Linked DNA regions of Drosophila melanogaster. The protein of the gene in region 1 interacts with the protein of each later gene in a pairwise test. Each region holds a gene or a part of one and is shown on either strand. Other genes may lie near its edges.

The links. The genes of interacting proteins can lie anywhere in the genome.
Region 2: the proteins of serp (region 1) and CG12992 interact in a two-hybrid assay, tested with the Drosophila melanogaster proteins (one large-scale study listed by BioGRID).

The regions. Positions count from the first base shown.
Region 1 is NT_037436.4:19,700,576-19,710,964, forward strand, and holds serp (serpentine), read right to left. Parts: upstream 7,441-10,389; 5' UTR 6,900-7,440; coding exon 6,845-6,899; intron 5,823-6,844; coding exon 5,650-5,822; intron 5,484-5,649; coding exon 5,234-5,483; intron 1,924-5,233; coding exon 776-1,923; 3' UTR 402-775; downstream 1-401.
Region 2 is NC_004354.4:17,585,792-17,593,462, reverse strand, and holds CG12992 (uncharacterized protein), read right to left. Parts: upstream 4,599-7,671; 5' UTR 4,533-4,598; intron 4,476-4,532; 5' UTR 4,368-4,475; intron 3,506-4,367; exon of another isoform or gene 3,449-3,505; 5' UTR 3,262-3,448; coding exon 2,995-3,261; intron 2,947-2,994; coding exon 1,915-2,946; 3' UTR 1,757-1,914; downstream 1-1,756.

The DNA of each region.
Region 1 (10,389 bases):
CGATATATCTCATTCTAGACCGGATCCGACACTTTGGTGCCCATCGGCGTTTTGGGGTGTCCAAAACCTGTCTCGGCATAGGCGAAATTTGCATATGAAATGCACATAGGAGGGGATTCTCCAACTGAAACCGAAACTGAGCCCCACCGAAACGCGTTATTGTTATTCAAATTCGTTAATTCCGAAGAAACTGGTTAGTAAGTCAGTGGGTAGATGGCATACTAAATGGGCCGGGGCTGTCAATGTTTTACTCCTCTCTTGGCTTCTTAGAAATCATATTTCTGTTGCTAGCTGGTAACTAAATACTTAATGTTATTTTGACTGGTTGAAACAAACGACAGGCGGCATTAAAAATTCAGTATTTGGTTTTTCTTGATTTTTTGTGGTTTTTTCGTTTATTTCATTTTTTTTCTTTTATTTAAATATACACATACAAATTAACGTAAAACTACAAAAAAGAGTGTAAACACAAGTTCGGATGTTGTGGCTTGCAGTTTTGAATATCTTTTGTTTTGTCTTCATGTCGAATTTCATTTCATTTTTGATTTAACATAACCGTAACACAGCAAAGACTTGATCCTCGAAATCAGTCAAATAGAGAGTACGAGTGCACTCGTAAAAGTCTTGCAATTCAAATTCAAATGGGCGATAATCGATCGAGTTTGTGTTGGGCTAGGGCTTAGGGTTTGGTGTGTGATAGGTATGGGTTAAGTTTGGGTTAGAGTTTGGGTTAGAGCTCGGGGCTCAAGGGGGGCATGGGGCTAAGATCGCTGACTTAGAAGAAACCATCGCCAGTGGGATCGCTGACCCATGGGTAGTTGTTGGGGCATCGGACGCAGGTCTGCAGGTTGATGGTCTCCCCGGGAACCTCCTTGGAGGTCAGCTTGCAGGTGTTGGGCACCCAGCAGGCGGGCTTGCCCTCGACCACGCACTTCTCCCTCCAGGGCTCAAAGTTCTTGACCTCGCTGATGGTGCGTGGATTCTGCATCCACTGGATCACCTGGGTCATGGTCACGAAGTACACGTCGTTGTGGTTGGCCAGGATCTCGTCGATCCAGTAGAGGAAGGCGTCGAGGAACTCGGGATTGTTCTTCAGCCAGGCGGCGTGGAAGTACAGACCCAGGGGAGCGCGGTTCTGGTCGTAGTGACGGTCGAAGTTGTGGTTCAGGAAGTTGTAGAACTGGTCACCGGTCAGGATGTTCGAGCAGGAGTCCACCATGGCGCAGCCGGGCAGGTACTCATCGTTGACGGGATCCTCGCGACGGTCCAGCTCGTTCATCACCATCTCCCACACGGCGTGGGATCGGGTGGGGCAGCTCTGCAGGTTGCCGTGGCAGCGGTGGGGCATCCGGAAGTACATGGTGTAGGGCCATAGTGGCGGGTTCGACAGCGGAGCGGTGATGGTGGAGTCGTACAGGAAGGCCTGCTCCTCCATCATGGTGAACTGGTTGTTGCCGCCCACGCGCAGGTAGGGAGCACGCACGCCCACCACCGAGTTATCCGTAATGTTGGCGAACTTCTCCGTAATGATCCTCATGCCGGCCATCTCCTTGGCCCAGTCGTCCACGGTGGCGTTCGACCAGAAGCGCTCCTCGTCGTTGTGCGTGATCGAGTGCACTGCGATCTCGTGTCCTTTGCGTGCCGTCTCCTGCACCGCCGAGTAGTTGGTGTACTTGTGCGACACGAAGTAGGTGGCCTTGATGGAGCAGCCGTTGGGGTTCTTGCGATCCTTGAAGATCTCCTTGTACAGCTCGATGTTGTTGTTGTTGATGGCGTCGTCGAACGTGATGGTGATCATCATGGGCACATCCTTGGCGGGCAGGTCGCCGGGAATCGATGTACCATCCTCCGAGCAGAAGCAATCGGGCAGGACGCACACGGCGGGATCGCAGGGCGGGGCACGGTTGGGATCGTTGTCGATATCTGTGGGCGGGGCAAAATGGTACAAATTATGGGGTTAGGACGAGGAAATCATAAGGTACATTACGAAAGATTCCTCAAACTGAAGTGAATTGAAGGAGAAGTCTTGCATATAAATGGGGTGTGTAAAGCACATTCTTAAAATAAGTAAGCAAGAGATATATGTAGGGATATAACTAGAGATAATCGATACCCTGTAAAATACAAATTCATTACAATAAACAGCCTGTCATCTTTTCCCATCAAATAACCAATCAACAATTGATATTCTGCCTGCATTCACCTGGCCGGCAAAAGTTCACTTAACTTTTCATATAAATATTTAAGCAATTAGCCAACGGTGAGGGGATAAAGCTTGGCGGGCAGGGGGTACGGGGTTGGTTCAATGAACCGAAGTGGTCTGGAAAAGCAATCAAGAGAGGTGGGAAAACCGAAACGCAAAGTGAATGGAAAATGTCTGCACAATGCGAGTTTTTCATCGGCATATGTTTCTTTCATTATTATTATTATTGGGATTTTTCTTGGCTTTGTTTTGAGCAATTTTCAAGTGTTGTTAATCAAGCGAAGCCGCTTTGAAATGCAGATAGCGTTCGCTTATTAGCCACACCACACCCATCCCGAAAATATGGCGCTCGATTATCGGGCCAAATGCAAATGATGGTCCACTCAATTACCAATTGGTAAGCCTTGCACTTGCCGGCTCGTCAAACGGAATCAATTGCGAAAGTTTCCAAAGATATTAGCCGCAATTATTGTTGCCGCTGTCTCATTTGGCATTTGGAATTGGTATTGGTATTGGCCAAAGTGAAATGGCAGGCACGGCATGTAAAGGCCAAAGCATTTTGTCCATCAAGTTTTTCACTCGTTTTTTTTTTTGCGTGTTTTCCATTTTGCCGGCTTTGTCTCTTTGTTGACCTTTTTGCGCCGTGGCTCCGCTTTCATTCCCCTCCTTTCTGCCAATATTGGCCAATAATCTGTCGTTAAAGACGGCTGTTATGTCATCCCGGACCGGTTCAGCAGCATTCAGCATTCAGCATTCGGTATTCACTCGGTATTCACCAGATCCACCGGCATTATTGACTTTTTAGGGCTTTTGGCTTTTGCTCATTTTATTTATTTTTGCAGAGATTGCCGCGGAGATTGCCGAATGTATGTGAGCTGGCTCATTATTGCCGAAGAGGAGCTTGCCAAGATTGGGATGAATTGTGGCCGAGAAATAATTGTGGGGAATTTTGTTTTTGGCTAAATTCGGTGGGATCTTAACGTACTTCCGAGAATCGGTAATGTGTAGCTGAATCTATTCATTAATCAAAAGTGTTGATTGAATTCTTGGAACACTTCTTTTCGAATCGATTTGATATTAGTTTATCATTTTGCACAAGTCATTCTCATTTGTTGCCAATTCTCATATGCACTTTTAATCTGAAGTTAGCTAAAAACATGGGATTCTCTTGAAGAGAATACACATGTGGTGGAGTTATAGGCTTTATGGCTATTGCCCAAGTAAAACTACACTATTTGGCAACATTTTTTCGGAGCACTTTCCTCGTTACTTTGTCGCTCTTTTTAAAACTACGATGTATGACCAGTTAATCGCTCTTTTAATCGCCTGCCATTTGCTTCGCCTCCCGGAGACGTGAGCTTCCTCATTGGGCCCAAAGGCGAAGTGGTCTAAACTTGGACTGGAGTTATTCAATTGTTTGCGATCGCGGGCATGGCTTTCTGCTCGGCTGGGCATTTCAAAAGTCAGGCAGAAGTGCAAATTTTCGCATTTTATAGATAGATAGATAGATATATACATTACGGATCGCAATCGCAGGTGGTGAATCTAGCAGAAGCAGAAGCTAGTTAGCCAGATTTATTTGGCACTTAATTGGCTTGTTGAGGCAGCCTTTATATGCCAGGTTAGCCACTTGAGAAATGTCGTTCGTGCAAGAAGAACGAAGTGAGCGTAAACTTATGGCACTCACTGTTTGGGCATGTTATTAGTATTTTTATGAATTAGTTGCGATTTTGCGCGGTCTGCTGTATCAATCTTTGGTTACTTTTGTTATTATAGTGTATTATTATTTGGTGCTTATGACTGTGTGTTTATTTTTCGCCCGCTTTTGGCTCGGCTTTTGCGGCTTTCTGCAATTGCTAAAAATAACCGTGGCTCTTAAGCCGCTTATGTAAGGCTAATTTACACATGAATCGAAACCACCTATGGAGCGGCATTTTGTTTTGCTTCGATTTGATTTCTATTAAGTCCAAGGTTAGCGCTATTACGATGTTGCTAATTAATGATTTAATGTTTTCCATACATGACTGCCTTAATTCCCCCAACCCCCTCTGTTTTAGCCAGCTGGCCACCAGCCGTGTCTGACATTTCGTTTCCACTTCACACTTGACATTTCCACCCAAAGATCGCTGTCCATTCGAGATCGGAGCTGATCCCGTCGAGCTGAGTGCGGCGGTTCAGCTGGCTCCGAGATACGATGGAGCTAAAGGGCTTTGCGAAACCGGTTCGTGGGATCTGTGCTGCAGACGGGGTTCCATTGCATGTGGCCGTCATTGGAATCCCCAAACCCCTTCCAAATTCCAAAAACCGAAAGAAACACGAAATTCAGACACTTGTGTGCCGTTGTGTCAGTGCTTTCGAGAGTGGAGTTTGAAGTGTTCCTCCTTCGCTGAGGTAATGCCTAAATGCCGTCAACCGGTTTTAAGGTGCGACTGGAGTAACTAAAGAAATTTCGACCAGAGAAAGATATTGGATTCGGATTCGGATTTGGATGTATCAAGAAAGGAAACATAAGATCAATTATTTATGCTATTGGCATATTATCTGACAAAGTGTGCACCCATATCACGAGCCACTTGAAGGCTTACATATATCATTTGAGCCGATGGAGTAATAGCACTCAACCTCGGGCTTTTGGGAAAGCCAATCCTATAAACAACACTTGGCGGCGGCTTACTTCTATTGACGCCCTCCTCAATTTCTGCTGAATCACACTGAATTATTGTTGTCAAATGTCAAACTTAAATGAAAAAGTGCTCACAAAAAAAAAGTGGAGCGAGCCCGCATTATCCCCAATATTGAGGCAATTATTTTTGGTAATTCCATTTTATTGGTCCTTGGCCATAGTTGGCCTAATGTCTAATTATTGCAATTTAAGTTTTTGGATTTTTTTATAAATCATGCATAAAATGGCTAATGCATACTAATTACACTTTTTATTACTTCTGTTAAGTGCTTCGACTAAGGTGTGCCAAAAGCTATTAAAAACCTAAGGCAATCCTTAAAAACAAAATATTTATTCAAAGTACTCACCACAGGTGTTCTCATCGGATCCATCCGAGCAATCCTTCTCGCCGTTGCAGAAGAGTCCGCGCTCAATGCAGTTTCCATCGCCGCAGGCGAGGAATCCGTCCTGGCACAGGGGCTCATCCGTATGGAGCAGGGGCTTCACGCGGCGCTCCTTGTTCTTGGACTTGCAGTTCTTCACCGACTCCTTCCAGTCGCAAGTCTGCTTCTCGATATCGAAGTACAGACCAGCAGGGCAACGGATGGCTTGCAGGCCCTGTTTAAAAATAAATAAATACAAAGTAATAATATTAAGTATATTTTATGAAGATATATTGTATTGATAGACATGGTAATCCCTCATGAAAAGTGATGTTAATAAGCTTTCATTCCATGTATCTACAATTATATTTACAAACAACTATAGATAGTTTGTAACTTACCGATGAGGTACATTGGATGACGTCGCGGCAATTGTCGCCCTCGCCGGCCACCAGGCGGAACCACTCGCCGGCGTCCTTGTCCTTGCACAGCTCCTTCTCGAAGGACTCCTCCTTCTTGGTCTCCTCGGTGGTGGCCTGTCGCTTGTATCGCAGGAGCGGATCGCTGGCACTGGCTGCAAGTCGAAACGAGGGAAATGGAAATATAAATGGATGCAATTGCAGTTGGAGTTGCAAAACCGGAAGAATTTCCACGGCGAATGTGGGTTGGGTGTGGATTGAGTTGGCTTGGATTGGGTTGGGTTGGTTCCATGTCGCCATGGCCTGGCACTTCCTGTTACAAAAACACAGATACAGCTACAGCTGCAGAGATACAGATACGAGTGGATTTGGCCGGGCTAAATAGACATGGCATGCGGTCGGGCTGGTTGGTTGCTTGGTGTGTTGGCCGAAAAAAAAAAACACGTTTGGCATTATGAAATACGATGTCACCAGAGAACCGAGCGCAGAAACACAAATAAATGTCGGTGCAAAAATAAAAACCGAAATCTGAAAAGCGAATTTAGAAACTCGCTGCTGCGCCTGCGCTCTAACTTTGACATTTTGCATCTCGCGACGCTTGGCAACAGCCGACTTGTCGCGCATTTTTCAAATCGCAATCGGATTCGGATTTGAATCTCAGTTTAAATTTGAATTTTTTGAAGTCGAGGGAGTTGCCGCATTTGCATAACCGTTAATTGACGGACAGCAACACGGCGATGTTTATGCTGCGACTCTAATCATGATCGATGGCCTGTCAAAGTCAAGTGGTCTCGGATTGAGATTCGTATTGAGTTTCAGAGAACTGCATTCACAGAGCTCAAGTGTCAAGCTGAATGGGTTTCTACGCGACTCAAGGTAAACAATCGTTTGTCCCTTCGGAAAACGAAAGTTGTTTACCAACTAGTCACAGCCGGACGAGTCCTTTTCGCATAATCAAGGTTACGACACGCCACGCCACTCCACTCACATCTGCATCTCGAAAACGGCTTTTCAATTGCCAGCCTTCTTGTTTCCGTTTCTCTGTGAAGGCCGTCGAGCAGTTTTAATTGATGTCTTGGCAACAACTTCCGCCAGCCAAATGCAAATTGCAGTTCGATAATTAAAACTTATGACTACGGCGAGGCATAAAATATGTGCGTTTCATTGGAGACCTTACCTTCGTTAAAGGCCGCCAGAGCCAAAACGGCAAAAACCACAAACAGTTTTGCCATCTTTAGGTGGACCTGTTGGGATTGGATCGATCGCTGGTATTAGCTGCACACTTTTTTAGAGTCTTATATCGATGTTTCTTTTTTCCTGGCAAACACACTTTGGGTAAAAAAACACTTCTTGGAGCTCTAGTCTTGTCCTTCCGATCGCTATCAAAGCTCCATTTACACTGTTTGCTACGATGCCGCGCACAATTTCTCGAACCCCTCTCTGACACCAAAGCCCCAGACGAAGTCAAAATTGCTTCTTTTATTACACGGCGGCGGCGGCGACGTCTCTTTCGAGCACCTGTGGTGGGTTTTGGAAAGCTCTGCTGGGGTAGTGCCCAATGCGATCCACAAAAGCTTTGAGCCACTGATTGCCGATCGCCGATCGCTGATCACTGGCAAGCCCGGCTTTTTGGCTGTTTGGCTTTCTGCTTTTCTGCCTTTCTGGCTTTCTGGCCAATTGGCTTTTGGGCCGGAATAGCTCTGTGAGTGTTCGTGTTGCACAAGTCTGGGTCCGATCGTGACCGGATCGTGGTTGAAAAGACGAGAGAAGTGCGGCACGTACGCGATCACTCTTTTATATGCAAAATGGTGGCGGCTATCGACTTCGAACTGCGGTGAGGTGAGAAGTGTAGCCGCCGTGCTTGTGGACTGCAAGTGTGCGAAGTTTGGAGTGCCTGGCAAATGGCACCTATGCACTGGCCGTAATGGCGGATTCCAGAACGTCTGCGGTGTCTCTCGATTGGCAACGAACTCTAGGGACTAGCCCTCGCCATTTTGGGCAGGGTGTCGGATGTGTGTCAGGCCAAACGATCCACTTGGGCGTGCCCAAACAGCTAAACACACACACACACACTTGCCAAAAATGCATTTTTTATCATCCCACATACACGTATCCACGTACTTTTGTTTTGGTATCTTCCAAACTTCGGGTATTTAAATTCACTAGGGTAACTAGTTAAATAATAGTCCACAGTGCGTATGATTGATACGAATTTGTATACTTGTACGTTGTGTCAAATCTTTTCTACTTGGCTCAAGATGAGTAAAGTGCAAATTTCTTTTTTTTTTTTTTTTTTTTTAATTTTTATTATTTATTGAATCTTCCCTTTGTGTTAAGAGACTAACAATAAGTGTTCAAATCTTAATCTAACTTAATTAACTTTCACTTAGTGATAGTTTTTTTTTTTCATTAATGCCCTAATAAGTTTATTGCTGGGCTGGGAGGTCGTTGCGGTGCAGCCGGCTTTGACTGCATACTCGGATTAGTTTTCTTGCGAGGGGATTTGTATGGGTGGTCAGCTTTTCGTTATACTTCGTTTTTTTCTCAGCTATTACTTCGATTACTAATTTGATTTTTAGGTCTCTGTGTATGTTTTCGTTCCGAAGGTACCACGGCGCTCCAGTGATAATTCTCAGAATTCTTGACTGTGCTCGCTGAATAATGTCTATGTTACTTCTGGATGCGTTGCCCCACAGCTCGGAGCCGTAAGTCCAGATAGGTTTTAAGACGGAGTTGTATAGAAGAGCTTTGAACTCCAGACTAAGTGGAGAGCGAGCATTTATGAGCCAGTGGAGGTTCCTTGCTTTAAGTTTAAGATGTTTCGATTTGGCTTCTATATGTTTGCGCCAAGTGAGCCGCCTGTCCAGATGAACTCCCAGATATGTTACCTCGTCGGCTTGTGGAATGCATATGTTATTCAAGACCAGTGGTGGGCATGTTTGTTTGTTTAAGGTAAAGGTAACCTGCTTGCATTTTTGAACATTTATTGAAATTCTCCAGTCGGCAAGCCATCGTTCTACAGATGTTAAGTGTCGGGATAGGAGTGCCGTGGCTTTTATTGGGCATTTCGAGCGACTGAGTATCGCGGTATCATCAGCGAACGTGGAGGTTGTTAGATTGTAGTCTATGGGGAAATCCGCCGTATACAGGGTGTATAAGATTGGACCCAGTACACTGCCTTGCGGCACTCCAGCTTCGATTGCGCAATCGCGTGAAGTGCTTGTATCGCATCTTATTGCAAACACTCTGTTATATAGGTATGACTTCAGTAGCTTATGTGTGTTTTGGGGCAACAGCTTGATTATTTTAAACAAAAGTCCATCGAGCCACACTCTGTCAAATGCCTGCGCGACGTCTAGAAAAATGGCTGTGCAGTATTCTCGATGTTCAAAAGCAGTACGAATTTCTGACGTGATTCGGTTGACCTGTTCGATGGTTCCATGTTTTTCTCTAAAGCCAAATTGATGTGTTGGAAGTGTGTTGTTTATTCTAAGATGAGGGCTAATCCGAAGGAGTAGCATTTTTTCAAACAGCTTTGAAAGACATGTTAGTAAGCTTATCGGTCTATATGATGATGGCTGCGTTTTATCTTTTCCTGGCTTTGGAATCATTACTATGGTCGACTTTTTCCATTTTTGAGGGAAGTATCCAAGCTTGGCGATTGCGTTGAACAACAGGCAGATGTGAAGAATAGCACACTTTGGGAGTTCAATGAGCATTCTTGGAGTTATTAGGTCGTAGCCAGGCGATTTTCTTGGGTTCAGTTGCTCTTTGATAACCTTTGCTAGTTCACATGGTCGGAATTCAAAGGGTTCTTGAGGATCTAGATTGGCTGCTATTAAAGGAGGGAGAATAAATGTGTTGGTAGAGGGGTTTGGTCGGAATACATTTTGTAAATGGTCAGCGAAAGCACTGGCTCTTTCTTCATCACTTCGAAACCAGGTGCCAGAGGGACTTCGTAGTGGCATAATTGGCGCTATTGGAGTCTTTAGGTTTCTGTGAGCTCTCCAAAGAGGGTACTTAGTGCTGGTGGGAGAGAGTTGCTCGATATATGAACGTTGGCTGTTTTTTTCCTCTTGTTTGAGAGCATTGGTAAGCCTGCGTGTGGCTATCTTAAGCATGTGCTTAGTAATTGGTGATCTATTAGACTGCCAATCCCTTCGTAGGCGTCGTTTATCTAAAACCAGCCGCTCGATTTCGCGATTAGTTTTGATGTAGTTTGGTTTTGCATACGTCACTGGCGGGGTTGAAGCCTTTGCAGCCGAAACTAAAATGTTTTCAAGAGTTTCCGTTGACTTGTCTATATCCTCCTTTGTAGATAATGCCGTCGTTAGTTCTATGTGTGAACAGACATACTTCTGATACCTTGGCCAGTTTGTTCTAAAATTTGTGAGTCTATACGGTGGGTCGACGATGTGGGGGCGAGTTAGCATATTTAGAAAAACAGGTGAGTGATCTGATGATAAATCTGCTAGTGCTTCGGCGGTGACCATGTTGCGGGGGACATGTTTAGTAATTGCAAAATCGATCAGGTCTGGGATTTTTCTTGGGTCTGCTGGCCAGTATGTAGGCTTACCCGGGGATACATAGTCTAGCTTGTTTTCTGGCTTCGTAAGCGCATTGTACAATTGCTTACCCTTTGGCGACACAAGTCGTGATCCCCAATGGGTGTGCTTGGCGTTATAGTCACCCGCTGCGATGAACCTGTCACCTAGTGTGTTA
Region 2 (7,671 bases), on another chromosome or scaffold:
GATTGGAGTAACCAGAAAGTAACGTGCGTGTCGCAACTGCAAAACAATGGACAACTAGCCCCTAGTCTTTAGTTGTCGCATGTATTTATACAACTACCATTGAGTTATTACAAATTAATATATATATATACATATATATATATTAAGCAAGCAAGAAGATGAGACACCGAGACAAGCTACTCCAAAGCCTGAAGCCATATCCATCTTGGCTATCTTTCCGCAAAGAAGCCATCGGCAACATAAACAACACAACATTCTACGTCTCAACGATCAGCGACTTACTCATTAAACATGCTCCTAAAGTCAAAAATCTAGCCAAAGAGGCAACAACCGTGCCCTTGATAATTATCCCAAACTTCAACCGCACTGATATAAACAGATACTTAAAGGCAAACATTATCAATGACAAAATCAATTACATAAGAAGTGCACCTCCTTGGGTACGTTATGGTACCGATTATAACTAGACTATGTCTAGGACACACCAGACCGACTCATGAGCACCGATTCTTCCAATCTGCAATATTGACAACATGACAATTCCCCACATCCTAGACGATTGCATCGCCCTCCAATCACATAGATCAAGCAACTCGCATTCGAAACTTACAGACAACTTAGAAAACACCCACACCTGAAAATCTCGAACATTTACTTAAATTTCTGAACAAAGACAACATAATGAATCTTCTGTAAACAAATAGCACATCTTTGTAATTCCCAATCAATGTGAATCAATGAATATAATATATGTATAAAATACTTAAATAAATACTTATAAATAATTGTAACCTAATACTTAAGTAGATGTTAAAAAAGTCCGACTATAGCCAGTAGATATAACTATTGTAGCATAAGTTTAAAACTTTTGTCTACGATGTACAAATAAATAAATAAAGCAAATATTCCACATATGCTAACTATTGTACAATATTACATATTATCCTCCAAGTAACGTAAATGTTTGGCACAAAAGATCCTTTTGTTCAAATCAGATATAGTTTTCTCCATGTTCAAGATTGCGCAACAAATTTAAACGATTACAGAGTAATTACAAAGATATGTAAATAAATACCCCTTTACAATTTAATTACCCTATTGCATTTACATTAATGGTTTTGATATCCAACTACTTGAATAATTTACCGCGTTCAATGACCAACACGCTTTCTATAATATATAATTTGACATGTATTAGCTTGTATATAAAGCCATATAAATAAATTCGATCACATTAAGTATATCAATCAATCGTAAGTTTCTTCAATTGCTTTTTCGCAGGTGTTATCAATATCTTTGATTAGATAATGAGCTTAAGCCCAAATTCTAATCATAATGGCAGGAAAATTTCACATTTTATAAGGCAAGATTCATCTTATTTGATTTCTTATTTTACTTGGCCAAAAAAGAAAAAAGAAAAAAATTTCTTTTGTTGGCATTGGTTTGGTAATAGTAGAAAACCAAACAACTGACCACCAAACAATCGACGCTGACTAGTTGATTTTTTCCTTTATTTCAATTGTTGGTAAGCTGCTCGATTTTTTCATTAATTTCTTTTTTCGCATGTTTTTCACTTTCTTCCGCCGAGTTGAAAGTGAAATTTGATGGCATTTCTTTATACATCATCATCATTACACATTTTACTTAAATTCTAATTGAGGTAGTTGAGATGCATACATTTTTTGTTTATCTTCGGATTGCATCATTACAAAAGATGGTTAAGTGTAATTGGCTTACAAATATATGGAAAATATTTGTAACATTACAAATGTTTATTAATACATAGATGCAAAATAAATGATTAGGATTACGGAATTGGTCTGTGTATTACATTAGCAATTTTTTTCGAATGGTGTTGAATGATGAATAGATTTTTAAATGCTACACTATTCCGATTTCCCTCCGGATTCTATTTTACATCTTGTTGCCGTGGTTTGAATTACGAGAGCAGCTGGCATTGGCGTCCTGTGGCTCACCGAACATAAAATGCGAAACATATTCCGGAATATATACCGGCCAGCAAGGATGCTGCTGCGCTTCGGCCTGATAAGTTTCGCTAATCAATGGCGGTTGATTTAAATTTGAACCATTAGCCGTCGGCATTTGGTTATACTTTGGCATGAAGCCTGACTGCTGGGACATCGGAAAACCAGTCGGAGGATAGCCGTAAGCGGATGTCGATTGAGCGTTGTAATAGGAATTGGAACCATAGCCGAAACCTTGCGCCGATTGGTAGTTATCAAATTGGATATTCGGGCGATTTGAAGATGAAATCGAATCATTGCCCGGATAATTTTCGCGCAGATTGCGGATTACGGTCATGAAGGCCTCCTCCAATGGATAATCCTTCCGGCGAGAATTCGTTCCACCCGCAATCGATTGAGGATGGCCCGACCTATCGGCACCCAAGGCAGAGCCTCTCGGCGAAGAGTTGAGACCCGGCTGGGATTTCGTCCTCGAGGGCTCAGCTTTCTTGGAGCCATTGGCAGCGGCAATGTTTTCGCTGGCCTCCGGTGGATGAAACTCCGGATATGAGAAGAAATCCCGGGCAATCTTCTTCAGATTCTGCATGCTGAATGGGTCAGCTGAAGAATCGCTAGTTCCGAAAAACCCCTGGCTTTTAACCGATTGACTGGGCCAAGTGAACGTGGCGGATGATGAGCTGGTATCCGGACATTTCTGCTTTTCGCCCGAAACATTGCCATGATGACAACACGATCCAATTTGATTGACAGATGAGCCCTCCTTGGGTGGAGGAGCATTCACTGCGGTGGGCCCGTCTTGCTTATTGGCCACAACGCTTGAATACAACTGCTTGGGACGGCTCTTGTCCTCGTGCTGATTGGGCTTCTCCTGCTTGGATGCTTCATTGCCATTTTGTTGCATCTTCGACGATGGATTCCTTCGATTGCGTTGCATCTGCTTAGATTGATTATGCTGAAAGTACTATTTTATGCGATAAGCCCGCTTTTTGCACTATACTTATTGCTTCACCTGTTTCACAGTGTCCTCCGGCACCACGTGGTTCAGCCCCTGCATTGGCACCTTTCCAGCTCGCTCGGAATTTGGGCGAGCCGCATTTTTGCCCTGTTTCTTGCTATAAGCAGGATTCGGTGGAATGATGGACTGCCTCATCGACGGCTGCTGTATAATTTTTGGGGGTTCCAAAATACACGCGGCCTTTGCTATGTTCTGATTTTGTGATTTGATCAAACGTTTGAGTTGCGCCTGTGACATTCTGGGAAATTTTTTGTGTGGCATTTTGATTGGAATTTTAGTTTTTTTTTTTTCAAACGTTAGTACGTGTAATCCGGAGGTATACGAAACTGAATAGAGCTCAGGCAATTCCAAATGACATTCGAGTTGACAGAAGGCACTGCTTACTTGAAATTTGTTGGCGATTCTTTTTCTAGAACATGAGGTTAGGTTTCCCACTTTCGGCCAATCACTGCTAAGTTCATCAGCAAATTAAACAATACTGGATTTATCTAAACTTATTTAAACACTAAAATGAATTATGCAATACTAGATAAATATGTAGTTATTGGAACATTATACAGCACTGGATGTATCTAAACTTATTCTAACAAAATCTAAACCTAATTATACAATGCTAGATAAACAAGATAAGATGAACATAAACATATGCACACACACACACACACACACAGTACATGAAAAGCTTATTCAACACTGGATATAAATCAAAACAAAAACAAACTTAACTTAATTTGGATTCAAAACACTGAATCAAATGGTGGATTATTTTAGACCAAACCATTGTTGAGTCTTAATAATATTATTAATTTATGATACAAGTTATGTACTCTTACAAATACATTTCTCTTATTTAAAACATCATTTGCTAGACTAGAAAACAACCTTTGTATGTATGTAAGAGTATGTATTTATCTATTTATTTATGTATGTAACCTTATAGGCACATCATTTGAACCTTCTGATTTCCACATCATCTTTAGTTATTGATGTTATCGCCCGATCTATGTGTGAATATCATATCATCGTTTTACGCAACTTCCACCCTATATTTATTGTACACCCCCCGCCAAAAAAGAAAAAAATCCCCATAGCAACAATGGCGAATGCCAAGATGCGATTTCCCTGGGCCCCAAAAGACCCAAGTTGCGTTTTCAGTTCGCTCCGCATTTCGTCTTTTGGTTTTTGCTATTGTTTTGATGGAAGCTGCAATTGCAGTTGCAACTGCTGACTGGCAACCGGATATGGTCACGAAAATCTGAAATCTCATATCCATATGCGAGTGACGCTCTGCATATGATTTGCAGATGTTGATGTTGCTTGTTTTCCCTTTTCCCAATTTCCCTTATTTTCCTTGCGTTACTACTTACAGTTTTAGTTGTTCCTACTTTGATTTCCTCAGTGTGTGGCTTGAGTTTTCCTTAGTATTCCGCCCTAGTGAATATTTAATTTGTTTCCTTCTTGCACTTCAGATGCAACTGCAAGTAAATCAAGTAATAAAATTAAACATTTTATAAGAAAGAAATGTATATTACTTTAAGGCCCGTGCCAAGGAATATGTATATACTACTTTTCTAACAACTTGTCATAATTTGATGTAAATTTCCAAGCTACTTAAGTTGATCAGTTGAGTGGCACAATACTGACTTGAAGGACAATATCTAGATTACTCGGATCTCAAGATTTCTGCTCTGTTTTGGATGCCCGCTGACGTGGACACACTCAGATGCGCTCCAGTGCCGATCCGGCTGGGTAAGCTCACCGATCTTAGCCAGATATCGACCCCCAGCCCACTCCCTTTTGTATCCCTTGAACTGTGGTGTAATTCGACTCAGTTTTTGTTTTCCGCTTCTGGCTGCGTTTTTGGCCAATCAAAGCAAGACTTGCCTTGGCTTTTGGCTTATTAATTATAATTAATAATTGCTACCCACTGGGCTGAGTCAGAGATTATGTTTACGTTTTGGTATCACCCTATAAGTTTGCGATGCTTATGCAATGCGCTGCAATTAATTGCGATAAGAACGTGCTCGAGTGTAACGTGAACCACTGCTATGGGTTGGGTTCAGAACCCCTGCAAATGACGTACATAGTTACTACAGCAGGGGGCAAATTACTAGCAGACATATTACCTTATTTGACTAAATAACACTTTGAACTTTGAATATCATAAGCGCGTTCACATTAGAGGTTTAATATAATGCAAATGCTGAGTTGTCCATTGAATTGATTAGTTGTTATTAAATCCGATTTATAGTCACAGTATTTGTAAGAATAATACTTTATAAGCCATGTACACTTTTGCCCATTATTGTGCACATTTTTCTGAAGGGCGCACCCATATGACGCGTTTGTGTTTCTTTGGTTCTGGGCTGAGAAAGTGACAAAACACAAAACAAATTTCGTTGACCATGTTTGGAGTGGCGCTGCTTCTTATTCTGTTTTGGTTTCGGCTTCTAGGTTTGTTTTCCGTTTCCATTTCTGTTTTCGTCTCGTTTTCCATTTCCATGCGACGTGGTCGGAATGACCAAGTGGTGCTCCACTATTGGGGACAGCGGTTTGTTGTTGTAGTTGTGGGTGCTCGATTAGCTGACACCGATTCTCGATGGTTGATAAGGCTAGTTCAGTTGGCCGTCCGCAAGACTGGGCCAAGTCGATTTTAATCGCATTGATTTCGTTTAAGTGCAAGCAAAACTATTTACCCCAACTCCCTCAAGGGGGTTTGGTTTGACCTCAAAACGGGCGGTTTGACCAGCAAATACTAACCTCTTTCCTTTGCTATCTTGCCTTTATTAATTCATTTTGGGTACTAGTTTGATCGCTTACTAAAACCCCTACTGAATAAACTATAACTGACCTTATTCACTGTCCGATATGATACCACCATCTATTATTTACCATTTGTTGGCTTTTATTACTTACTGGCCAAGCCAAAGCCAAGTTATTCTGGTTACTAGCCAATAAGCATTAAAATACAGCGTTTTGTTTGGCGAAATCAATTAGTAAATTAAACAAATGAAGACATTAATGCTATTAAAGAGTGTTAATCATTCAATGTGGTTCATATGGCTGCCTTTCTCTTCACTTCTTTTATTTTTTCCACGTTTTTGCTTCAATATTTAGCAGTTTGTCATCTCTTGAATGATGATGATGGTCAAAATATTGCTACCATCGTTCGTTCAACTCGTTGCCGATTTGCAAATCTGGCTAAGAGCTGGCACGCCACATCCGAACATGCATATATGTATGTATGTATGTAAATATACAATTTATTTTAACCATAATGATATGGCCAATTCCGATGTTTCACATGCGTCTGGCTTCAAGCTAACTATGTGCAAATGATCGGGCGCACAAAGGCGAAGAAACTATTTGCCAAATTTTTAATAACCATAATTAAGTGCTTAGAGACGGCCAGGAAATTGCATAATTGTGGTTTCTGGCGGCTCCCCAAACCCTCTTCTTCACCAAATCATCTCCATTATGCAAATGCCTGTGTCTCGCCGCGTTCTATTCGCGAATAAATCACGTATACGGCACGTAAAAAAGTGGCGAACAAAAAACTTTGACGTCAGCCGACCCGGCCCCTTATAATCACCCACCTCGCCCACCTTACCCAGAATTTACCCATTTCATATTGCGTCCTTTTCAGCGGTGTTTTGATATCAAGTCTATCACTTGAATCTGGAAAAAAGCACGTAACTGTCTCAAAATCTTGAAACATGCATGCTTATAAATTTTTTATGAAAATAATAATCTTGCAATATAAAGCACACAAACAGATATGGGTTCTGTTTGAAAATTAATTAATTTTAAATTGTTTTAAGGTCAAAGCATTTCAAGCCATGACGAAAAAATATGAAAAACCAAATCATTTAGGTAGTAAGAACACACTAGAACCATTAACATGTTTATCATAAAAACTAAATGCATAAATTAACATATAATTCTGGTCTATAAGTTTTGCTTTGTTTGTATCTTTCTCAACTGACATCTGTTCTCATTCTAGGCTTAATTATTTTTTCCGGTGCTGAGGTTCTCAAGGTGACTATGTGTCCGCTGGGAAAACTTTCATTTCGACTAATGTTAATGAATTTCGGGGACTGCAAGAGGTCTTGGCATTGAAATCTGGTTATTGATGATTGCACGCGAGCCTCACATGTCTATAGATATAACCATAGACACCTATCTATATATACAAACATATATCTAACGAATAATACATATAACGAAACCGAGCCAAAGCGATCCGAAAGCATCCACATGTCTGCCATTCAAATGGGCACGGGGAAAACCTTTCCACTCGCTAAAGTTTCAGACAATAGCTATATATGTTATGTACCCCCGATTTCCCGCAGTGCAGCCCACTTTTACTTTCGGCTAATTGCACTACTTGGCCAGCAGGCGGCGCCACTTTCCCAAAACGGTAGCATGCTCAAAATTAACAACAATATAATATGGATCTCTTAAAAAGCCATTTCCTTTTGTATGTGAAAAATGTAACAGACTTAAGGGCGATGGAAAGGTTAACAAATTGATTGGACGGGATGACATAATGGCGATGGCTCCTTGTAATTAATTACAATTAATTGTGCTTAATCAATTTGCCATCTCATGTCTATCATGCAGTCATAATGAGTTACATGATTTTAAATATAGATAATTGGCGGAGGAGAG